Diceros bicornis minor: one gene and its partners. The main gene of each other region encodes a partner of the protein of the gene in region 3 in a complex. Links are inferred from orthologs where the notes say so. Each region holds a gene or a part of one and is shown on either strand. Other genes may lie near its edges.

Region 1 (3,749 bases), on a different chromosome or scaffold from region 3:
TCCCCTACTGTGAGCCCCAGGACAGCAGGGATCTTGTACACTGCTAGGATCCCCTGGACCTCCAACCCAGATCTTGGTATACAGAAGGTGCTCAACAAATGTTTGTTGGACAAATAAGTGATCCTAGGAGGCAGGTGCTAATCCAATCCTCATTTTACAGGTAAAGAAACCGACTCTAAGAAGGAAAGTCACTTGGCCATTCATTCCATGAACATTCATTGAACACCTACTGTGTGCCAAGCACTGTTCTCCACGTTGGGGATACAGCAGGACCACACACCTAGGTCCCACAGTGGAGCTGGATTCAAACTGAGCTCTGTCTGACTGCAGAGTTCAATCCCTTTATCCGACTGCCCCTGAGCTCTCTGCTAGATTAACTACCTCGCAAGAGCCCCCTGAAATAATAAAAATCACGTTAGTTACTGCTCCCTTCTGGGCCATGCAAGGAAAGTGCCAGGCCCTGAGTCTAGTTCTTCACATGCGAGACTTCCCAACATCCCTATGAAGGACAAACGTTCCCACTTTACAGAAGAGGAAACGGGGGCTCCAAGACGGGACAGCTGGACTGGAACCCAAGTCTGACTGGGCTCAGCTGGAGGACCCCAAATTCCCAGGCAATCTCAACCAGCACCCTACCCACCAGTGAAATCACCAAGGACCCGGGGCCTGAAGACATGATAATGGCAATAGCCACACTCGTAGCACGGGCATGTTCCTGTGCCAAGCAGCATACCTGGGCTTTAAAAATAAGTCCCACCCAATTGTTACAGGAGCCAGACACTCACTGAGCACTTACTAAGCCAGGCCCTCTTCTAAGTGCTGGTGATGTCCACTTAGTCCTCACAACAACCCCATGAGGTAAGTATTGTGATTATTCCTATAGTACAGACAGGGAAATTGAGGCAAAGACAATGCCCAAGGTCACATAATTAATAAGCCACAGCTGGTTTTGAACCCAGGCAGTCTGTGCTCTTAACCTCAACACTCTGCTGCCTCTTAGCTGCTGTTAGCTTCATTATCAGACAAGGAAGGGAAGGCTCAGGGCAGTCAAGTCCAAAGTCCCCCAATGAATAGGTTCGTATTTGAGCCCAGATCTGGCAGCCTATGGCCCTAACCATTATGCTGCACCACCATGCTATACTGCCTTTGATGGGGAGGCATGAAAATTGGAGCCTCTGAGGTCCCTCCAGGGGCTGTGTGGATGGACTTGTATGACAGCCAGAATGGGGTTCCTACATTCCCACAGAGAATTATGAATACAGGAGGGTGGCCTCTCCTGTGTAAATCTGGGATGAAAACTTCCATTTTACAGTAAGAACTCAATAAAGTAGAGGCTGTTAAGCAAAGAATTAAGATGCCAGAGGGACCCAAGGCACCCCTAAGACAGGGAGCAAAGTCCAAACAGTGGGGTTAGGGCTGTCTACTGTTTTGAGCATTGGAAGTGTGTGTGTGGGGGGGTCTAGCCTGTAGTCCCCATCTTTAGGGGCTGTGTGTTCAGAGAGTGGGAGTCAGAGCCCCCAGAGATGGGATAGGAAGGAATAAGAAGGGAGCCTGAGAATCACGTGGACAGTGTGGTCAGGCTAGGAGTCCTGAGAGCCAATGGAAGATGCAGAGCAGGGAATGGTCAGGGCATCAAGGAAGGAGGGTGGAGCATCTAGGCTAGGGGGCTCTTGGTGGGGAAATGAACCAGGCCCGGAATACCTGTGTGGACGCCCCACTTGCAGAAGAGGCTACTTTCCGAGAAACCTGTGGCACCCAAGATCTGCCCGATCACGTGCACCTCAGCCATGGCCCTGAGAGGGGAAAGATATAATCACAGCCCTCTGAGATACGGGTATTATTATGTCCACCTGACAGATGGGAAAACTGAGCCCCACGGAGTAAGGGGCTGTACTAGGATTCCAAGCTAGTTTCGTCAAACCACTGAGGCAGCAGTCTTAACCATGATCCTAACTGCCTCGCTAGGAGAGCCCCGGATAAATATGGGGAGCTGGGCTGAGAAGCTGGCGTCTAACTTTGCCTGCCTTAAAATAACCTTTTCCTCTTGCTCATTACGACGGAAAGCCCCGCCCCAGGGGCCTACGGCTCCGCCCACAAGCACAGAAGCCCCGCCCCCTCGCGTCAGATCGCCCAAGCTCCATGAGGCGCATGCGTCTTAAGTGCATGGCCGCCTTAGCCCCGCCTCTAAGCCCGCGCATGCGTTATTCCTACCTCAGAGCGCTTAACGGTTAGGAGGGGCGAAAGCGGCAGTGGGGCTTGGAGTTCATGGGCCTGACCTGTCCCTCTCTCCGCGGGCGCTGAATTCCCAGGCCTGGTTCGCCCCTCTCCCAGGACTTTCCCAGCAGTGAGAGATCTGAAGCAGTGAGATCCCTCCGAGCCGCGCCCGCCTCCGGGCTCCCTGCTTGTTGCTGGGGCAACAGCAGCCTCTTCCCCTGGCCTTGCACCCGCCCTGCGCGTCGCTAATTGGCCCTAGCCGTCCTCGAGGGTGGGGCTAAGCTATGATGGACGTTTTCTCTCCCCCGCTGTCTCCATTTTGGGAAAAGTGTCTCTCCAGCCACGACCCACGGTTCCGCCTTTTGGGGCGTGGCCGGGCAGCTGCCATCTTGAGTGTGGCTGAGGAAGTTTGAGCGCCAACTGTTTCTTCCAGTAACCCTCTTTACAAAATAAGCGAAGACGTCGATGCCCTATGCTCCCCTAAACTCTCTCCCAACCGGACCACAAATCAGAGACTTGAGCCAGGAACAAGAGGGACTCTTTCTCAGGTCATTGTGTGCATCCCCCTGCCTCATAACTGGAAAAAAGATCCTTCCTCTTTCAGAGAGACTCGAGAAGTTGGGGAGGGGGGTTTCCTTCCTTTTTTAGAGTTCCCCCAGGCTCCTCAAGGACTGATAAATCCAACTTCCTTCTCAGAAATACTGCCCAGTTCAGTTACTGCTGGCTCTGAGCAAGGAGGCGGGTGTGGGGGCAGGGGTATGAGAAATGAGGAACTGCGGCCCCTTTTTCTGCAGAAAATCCGGTTCTTGAAGACTAGACTCTGCCAGTGTCTTATCTTGTGGCCTTGCACGCCTTTGTGTCTCCATTATCTCATCCATGTAATGGGCGCAAGGAGACTGTCAGCGGCCCTGATACGTTCTGATTTCCTGAGCAGGGCCTTTCCCGCCCCCTAAGTGCAGTTGACCCTTAGTTACTCCTCCAGCCCAGACCAGGAGTCCAAAGGGAACTTTTTCTCCTACTTTTTAGCAAAACGGGACCACAAAAGTTCGAGTCACCAGCTCAAAGTTATAGGGAGGGGGCAACATTTCAATAGTATAATATTTATATAAATAATTTAATAGGATAATATTTCACTAATAGATATATTTGAAAGCTACCATTTATTGAGTGCTTTCTCTGCGACAGCCCCTGTAAACTGATCGTTTTGCATGCATGGTCTCCTTTAATCCTTGCAGGGTAGGTAACATTATTGGCTTTATTTAAGATGAAGAAATTGAGGCAAAATCTTTTGTCTTAGCCAAATCGATCACAGTTCTGTCTGACTCTTTAAACCTTGCTTTAAACCTTGTGTTCTCAACCTTTCTGCTATCCTGCCTCTCTTGGATACACGTCTCCCAGTGTCAAAGGAATATGGAAGTTGTGCCTGGGTGTCCTCCTAGACTCCATCACTTCCCACATGCGACAAGTCATCAAGGCCTGTCAATGCTCCTTCTTAAATATTTTTTCTTCAATTGGTTTCTTCCCCACTGGGTGAT
Region 2 (3,749 bases), on a different chromosome or scaffold from region 3:
CTAGCGGCGTATCATACTCCAGAATGAGAGCAGTGGGATAAGCAAAACTTGCACAAATAAGAGCTGTAAACACCTGAGAAGGCGCTTTCATAGAAGAGCACCCTCGGTAACCAAGCAAGTGACAGCTGCAGGACTGGTGGGTACTGAAGCCCCTTCTCTCTCCACCCCCAGCAGTGGCCCCGACAAGTTCTAACCTCTCCTCTCTAGAGCCTTCACTCTAGACACACAGCTCCTCAACCTTCAAGTCCTTCCACCCGCGACGGTGATGGCGCTACAGGCAAGGCGGGCGGGGTCGGAGGATGCACTGCCCTCCTCTCAATTCCTCACTCGCCCCCAAACTATGATCTCGGCCGCGCGGCCCCCACTCCACTGTACACAGACAGGTTCTGATACCAAAGAGGGGTAAAACTTTTCTGTCTTCTTACAGAGGACACCCCCCGGGGCGTCGCTTGCAAAGGCCTAAGCAGAAGGCGGGGTCTTCCCACCTCTCCATTCTCGGGCCAGGCCCTTCCGCCCCGATGGCGGGAGCGTCTCCAAATCAGGACCGCTCCCCTCAACTCCTCCCCCGCCGCTGACCGACAGCTCGACCTCACCTGGGAGCGGCTCCACGAGAGGACGGCTCAGGGAAACCTCAAGAAGAGCGGTCCAGAGAACGACGCCACCGCAGGCACACTCATGGTCTACCTCGTTCACAGCAGACGCGCCTCAGCCACCGCGCCTCCGCCACCGCGCCTCCCGCCGCCGGCTGGTTCCCCCGCCGCCCCGGTACGGTCGCAGCCTCTCGCATTGCACGCCGGGAACGGCCTACCTCCACTTCTCATTGACTTCAGTTCCCAGGATGCACAAGCCTCCAAGCAGAACTGCACTCTGGGATTTGGAGTCCTCATCCCCAAGACTTCTCCTTGTCCTTTTCACAGAGTCCGGGAAACCCGCTGGGGAATCTAAACGTAAAGCATCACCCATAGTCGTGAAATGTAGGCTCCCTGGCATCCGGGGCCTTGTTCCAGCCTTGGCTGGGTGGGGAATGGTGTCGCCTAGCAGCCGCCGCCGCTATTCCTCGCTCAGGACCAGTTGGCGGGAGCCAGTGTCCGGTTGGCACTGCGCTGGGGAGCGGTCAGGCGTGGCGGCGGGGCCGTGCTTGGTGGGTGCGGTAGATGAAGGGCCGCCTCTGGTTGCCAGGTTTGGCTTAGGTGCCTGGATCCTAGTGAGCATGAGCAGCGGCTGTCTTCTTACGCGGGTTCTTTAAGCTTCAGGGCCCATCTGCAGCAAAGCCCCGCTTCCCCGCCTCTTAGCCTTTTTGGTCAGCAATCCATCTGCCTTCTCCTCGCTTCAGCCCTGGTTTCCCCGGCCCAATTGCACTCATTTCAATCGTTTATTTCCTCACTTTTTTACGCCCAGTTCCTGCTTCTCCGAATCAGGGGTCGGTTTCAGCCTGCCGAGCACCTCCGCGGTTGGCACCATTAGATGTTCGCGTGCCTTGGTGGTAAGGGGGCATGAAGGAGGGGACTCAGAATCTTAGTTCTGACCAAGATTAGTTTTAACAAAGAAGCCGTCGTAGTTTGTTTAGCCGATACAATATCTGATGGTTTGTGCCAACTGCTATACTTGTGATCAAGGTTATTTTACCCGCTTATCTGTTATACAATTAAGGAGGCATAGCTCTTTGCTGACACCATAGAGAGTTAGAACAATGTAATGTGTAAAAACTGTAAATTGCTGTGAAAACATTAATGCTGTTTACCTTGAAAATGCTAATACCCACCTACCTTGTTACCGCAGGTAAAGCACAGTGAAAGAATTCAAGATGCCACCTAATATAAACTGGAAAGAAATAATAAAAGTTGATCCAGATGACCTGCCTCGTCAAGAAGAATTGGCAGATAATTTATTGATTTCCTTATCCAAGGTGCTTAATTGATAAATAATATGTAAATATATACATACAACTATGATTCATCCAAGTTGTCCCTTTAATCACTGAGTGGTACAATTGGAAGAGTTCTTATATTTTGCTTAAGTGTTATAAATATATAATAGTTGTTTTTCTGTTTACTTAGGTGGAAGTAAATGAGCTAAAAAAAGAAAGTCAAGAAAATGTGATACACCTTTTCAGAATTACTCAGTCACTAATGAAGGTTTGTATGCAGTAGGTTTTAATAACAGCTTTGACTATTAGAGAAGGTTTAAGAATCTGTTACTTACTTAAGTAACTTAAGTAAGTTAATTTCTATAAAAGTACTTTGTAATATCTAAATCACCACTAAAAAATGAGGTATTTTCAAATGTGGATTGAGAATTTTAGTGTGCAAAACATGGCTAGTTTCTGCTCTAAAGTTCCTAAAAGAATATGTGAGGGAAACAGATGGATATGTTTAAAAATAACATAGGGAGGTCCTATGTTAATTAAGTTAACATAATCCTGAGGTAGAAGTGAAAAATGCAGACGATTATTATAGGGATTTATTAGGAGGGGAAGAGATTTAGATGTGAGAAGACCTCATGAAGGTTAAAGACTGATGAGTAGTTTTAGGTAAGTGGAAAGCAGTGGTAAAATATTAAGGAGATTCTAGAGCTGGAGGTTACCATAAATAAAAACTGGAAATAGAAAATGTGTATTCTTTCCATTTGAGGAGACAAGTGCAGACACTTTGTGGCAGGCTGTAGAGGAAACAAATGTTGCCTCTACGGAGGCTGTCAAAGGCCTTGCAGGTGTATTTTACGCTGTCAGCAATGAGGAGCCATTACAAGTTTTTGAGCCACGCTTGATAGGTACAAAAATATGCCTTGGGAAGGCTAAACTAGGTATGGTAAACTAAACTATGGAGGGTAAACTAGGCTAAATAGGACAAATTGAAGGAAATTAAAGCTGTTTAGCCATAATGTTATAAAGGAGGTTAGACAAAAAATTATGGACTAGAAGAATCACAAGTAGAATAGAAAAAAAGGGATAGTGGAAAACATTACAAAGAGCAAAGTGGCAATACTGGATATAAGACTTGAGGGAAAAAGAAGAATCAAAGATGTTTCAAACTGTTAGGAATCTAAAAATTATAGCCTTAAGTAAGAAAATCATCTATTCATTCAACAGCTATTTACTGAATGTCTGTGTATGCCCGGCATTCTGAGCGCTAAGTTTTGGGATAGCAAATAAAATCCTGTTTTGGGTGCTTACATTCTAGTGTAAAGGCGTATTGAAATAAATTTTGTGTTTTTAATGTTTAGATGAAAGCTCAAGAAGTAGAGCTGGCTTTGGAAGAGGTTGAAAAAGCTGGAGAAGAGCAAGCAAAATTTGGTAAGTGCTATGGAAAGTTAATTATGATGCTAAATAGTGGATTCCATTTGTTCTCTAAGCAACAGAGAATTAGCTTTAATACATTCTATAAAATGTGTAGACTCAATTTATTTTGAAAGATATTCTAGAACTCCTATTCCATAGATCAGGTATAAGATAGTTATTTTCTCTTCTATTACCTTATTATTACAATCATGATGGAATCTTTAAAAAGAATTTATTTTATTATTTTATTGAAATTTATTTAGAAGTTTGTCTTGAGATAAATTGACCAATTGAAACATTTGTCTTTTTTTAATAGAAAATCAATTAAAAACTAAAGTAATGAAACTGGAAAATGAACTAGAGGTATGTCCTTTTGTATTCCCTAGGGTGTAGTTGTTCATTTTATTATTTTGAATTATTATTTTCAAATTTTTCTATTATTATTATTGGAATAATCACAAGAATGATACTG
Region 3 (3,749 bases):
ATGTATGAATTATTTCACAATAAAAATGTAGCTCAAAAAAGGTACAATAACAGACTCTGGAAAGAAGTGTGTAAGAAGGGAAGGTTCTGTCAATAAATACACAATCTTTTGTTAGTCTGAGACACAAAAGTTTACGTGCTTCTCTCTAGCCAAGGACTCCTCTATGTGCTTAGTAAAATAACGCACACTAAAGTAAAAAATAAAGAGAGTGTTCGGGCTCCCTGTCTTATGCATTTAAAATTATAATCTTGATTTGTTTTCCAAACTTAAAACCCTTGTAGGTAGCTATAAGACTACTAAGGACAAAGCAATAGTGTTTAATAACTCCACTTAGGGGAAAAAAAGGTCTCTATCCAGGATACGAGTGCACTTAATCAGCCAACAAGTATCTGTTGGGCACTTGCAGGGTCTAAGTAGCACTCAGCTGCTTTGCCACACCTTTCAATGTCCGCACGCCCGGCTCACAGAGCAGGGCACTCAGAAACAGAGCTGATGCAAGACGAAAGTTATCACTCTTCTCTTCCATCTGTAACCCATTCTACAAAGGGCTGTCCAGTTCTCCACGCAGAGCCAGCCTCCTGCTCCAACACGTACCAGGAGTGTGAGCTAAAATCAGGCAGGTAATTCACCTGCCTGAAAAATGGGGATAGCCCACATCATAGGATTGTTATGAGAATTAAATGAGATACATCACAGATGAAATGCTTAGCACAGTGCCTGCTACACAGTAAGCAGTTAATAAATGCCAGCTGTCGTTTATTATCATTACTTTCACAGGTCTAAGGAGGGCTCCTTTAAAAAGATGAAGTGAAAATTCATCCCCTATACTGGAAAAAAAGCGCTGAACACATGCCCTAATAATGATGATTCAAGAATAGCTTCATTCTGGGGAGAAAGTGGATTAACAGATGAATACTGACATGGATAAAAGACAACACAGTCCAAAAACCTTAGAGAATTTTGGGCCTTGACTACACTGCCGTATTCCGTCCCAATTTATCATTGATTTAACTTCCCTACTAATTCATCAAATGAACAGTTTAAATACAAAACAGAGTTTTGTTTACATATATTGAAACAGAAAATATATTTCTCTGTACTTTTTCTTACAGACTACTCATAATTTATAAAGGAGGCCCTCTGGAGAAATAATGGTTCCGTAACTGAAGTTAAGTCCTACAGCTCAGGACGTCAGCCAATGATGACTTTTCTATTTACTAATATTGAGCCATACTCAATTTAAGAAAAGAGTGCCGGCCCCGTGGCTTAGCGGTTAAGTGCACACGCTCCGCTGCTGGGGGCTCGGGTTCGGATCCCGGGTGCGCACCGACGCACCACTTCTCCGGCCATGCTGAGGCCGTGTTCCACATACAGCAACTAGAAGGATGTGCAGCTGTGACATACAACTATCTACTGGGGCTTTGGGGGGAAAATAAATAAATAGAATCTTTAAAAAAAAGAAAAGATCTTTTTCTCATAAGAAGGGATAAAAAATACTGCATACCTATTGAGGTTACAGTCAGTGGACTTAGAATTTTTAAGATCACAAATCCTTTTGAGAAACTGCTGATTGCTATGAACGCTCACCCCAGAAAAATGCATATTCACAAAATTTTGCACTCAATCTCAGGGTCACAGACAGACATCTCCTGAAGTCATCAATCTCAAATCAGATTATAAAATATTCACTAAATGTGTAACTCCAGGATTAGATCACCTTCCGAGAAATATGTTAATTATCCCTAAAGATGAATCCTAAGAAGTGGGCATAACCCCTTACCCTACAGCTTCCCCTTCCAACTCAACACAGGAGGAATCCTGAGTTTTCATAATTCAAGTCAATAGGCAAGGGCCTTGACCCAGTCACATTTTGTAAGCTAGACTTCTGGCATCTCTTTTTTTGGTAAGTGAAAAGTCTGATGCATCCTATGCATTTCATTTCCACAACTGTCTAGAAACTTTCGATTTTGTCTTCTGCTGCAAATCTGCAAGGATTCATTCATTATTACTTTTAGCATTAACGTTGTCCAGGACCATTGCAAGTACTTTCAAAGATCTGATATTGTCCCACTTACACTCTCTGAGCCTCAGTTTTCTCATCTGTATGCCAGGGATAATAATATCTACCTCGCAGGGTTGTTGAGAGAATGAATGCCTATGAAACACTTAGCAATGCCTGCACACAGTAAGTGTTCAATAAACGTTAACTATCATTATTACATCCTCACTCGGGCTACCCTCCCTCCAGGTTAGATTACTGTGGATCCCCAGGAGTTGGCACTTGGTACCCACCGTCCGTAACCGGGGTGGGCCTGGGGCCAGAGGAGGGCCGAGGGGCCCTGGGGGTCTCGGGAGGCCTAGGCGACAAGGCAGGTCGGAGAGTCATCAGGGCTGCCTCCGTAGAGTTGAGGCCCTCCGTCGTCACCGCGGAGGTGGCCCCGGCCTGGGCGCTCCCAGAGGCCCAGCAGTCCAGGAGCACGAGCAACAGCGGCGGGAGATCCCGCGGCCCCATCCCCTGGCCGAACCCGGAGCAGCCAGCACCAGGGGGACCAGACGTTGCCAAGCAACCGCGGCAGCCGGGCGCGGGGCATTACGGGAAGAGTCCCTCGAGACCTCGCGAGACGGCAGGAGCTGAGGGCGGGGCCTGGGAGAGGCGGGCGGGAGAGGCGGGAGGCGGGAGAGGCGGGAGGCGGGAGAGGCGGGAGGCGGGAGAGGCGGGAGGCGGGAGGCGGGAGGGGGCGGGGCCTGGGAGAGGCTGGACACGAGGGGCGGTGTGAGTCCAGTGGAGACGAGCGGCTTGTGAAATTGTGTTGTGCTTCCCCGCGGCCTCCGGCGCTTGTTTAAAAAGTGCGGATTTGCAGATTACATCTCAGGGGATTCTGATTCAATAAGTCTACAGCAGGGTCCAGGAATTGATATTTTTAACAAATGTCTTGACGCAACAGTCGGGGGACAGAAATTTGGGAACCGCTCTCCTAAAGCTACTAAGTAGGGTCTTTTGCGGGAGCACAGAGATCACATCATCATCCTTGAATTTTCTGTCTCCCACACCCTGTCCACGCTGGCTTTGCCTTTTTTGTTTTAGATGCATCGCAGGAGATCGCCAGACAACTTCTGTTCACCGTGTTGTGATAAGCGGGACAAATGAACACAACTTTTTTACCCACAAAAACATTGACAAAAAATAAGTAGAATGATTTATACATCTTAAAAAGAAAAAACAAAGCAAATCTGTAACTCTACAAAATGACACGGAGACCACAAGACTTAGGGAAGCACTTCCATTCTAAACTGGCTTATTTATAAAGGTACTCCAACTCAGGGATGTTGGCTATACCTTTGACGGTTCATCTCCTTACAATTCAGAAGTAGATGTTAAAATACTTGAACATATCGTGGTATCTATTCAAGAAACACATTTCCACAGTATATATACCTAATTTATTAAATTTATATAGCAAAGCTAAATCATCAAAGTGACATCTTTAGCATCTTCCTGTGGCATTCCAGAGAAAATGTTTTAAAGTGTAATTGGATCACTCAAATGTGTAATACAGATATTTCCAAATTTTTTTTCTCCAAAGGATTGCTTTAGTGTCTGATTGAAATTTTGGACCACTTTTAATAACTGATACAACACTTCCCTTAAAATATATTTTTTTTTTTTCCCCAAACTTTCATAACTTCTAAATCCAGGGCTGATTGTTGTTGATTTTTTAAACCTTCTCTTATCTTCCAGGCCTCTACTT

The links.
Region 1: TCTN1 (region 3) and B9D2 share a complex: the UniProt entries of both Homo sapiens proteins name them as parts of the tectonic-like complex. The link is inferred for Diceros bicornis minor from reciprocal best matches to the Homo sapiens genes TCTN1 and B9D2.
Region 2: TCTN1 (region 3) and CEP290 share a complex: the UniProt entries of both Homo sapiens proteins name them as parts of the tectonic-like complex. The link is inferred for Diceros bicornis minor from reciprocal best matches to the Homo sapiens genes TCTN1 and CEP290.

The regions. Positions count from the first base shown.
Region 1 is NC_080773.1:15,359,342-15,363,090, forward strand, and holds the start of B9D2 (B9 domain-containing protein 2), read right to left. Parts: upstream 2,415-3,749; 5' UTR 2,277-2,414; exon of another isoform or gene 2,212-2,276; intron 1,794-2,211; 5' UTR 1,790-1,793; coding exon 1,702-1,789; intron 1-1,701. UniProt on the Homo sapiens protein: Component of the tectonic-like complex, a complex localized at the transition zone of primary cilia and acting as a barrier that prevents diffusion of transmembrane proteins between the cilia and plasma membranes.
Region 2 is NC_080764.1:33,002,115-33,005,863, forward strand, and holds the start of CEP290 (centrosomal protein of 290 kDa), read left to right. Parts: upstream 1-1,009; 5' UTR 1,010-1,483; intron 1,484-1,779; 5' UTR 1,780-1,804; coding exon 1,805-1,906; intron 1,907-2,057; coding exon 2,058-2,135; intron 2,136-3,222; coding exon 3,223-3,292; intron 3,293-3,593; coding exon 3,594-3,640; intron 3,641-3,749. UniProt on the Homo sapiens protein: Involved in early and late steps in cilia formation. Its association with CCP110 is required for inhibition of primary cilia formation by CCP110.
Region 3 is NC_080774.1:9,094,999-9,098,747, reverse strand, and holds the start of TCTN1 (tectonic-1), read right to left. Parts: upstream 2,546-3,749; 5' UTR 2,513-2,545; coding exon 2,293-2,512; intron 1-2,292. UniProt on the Homo sapiens protein: Component of the tectonic-like complex, a complex localized at the transition zone of primary cilia and acting as a barrier that prevents diffusion of transmembrane proteins between the cilia and plasma membranes.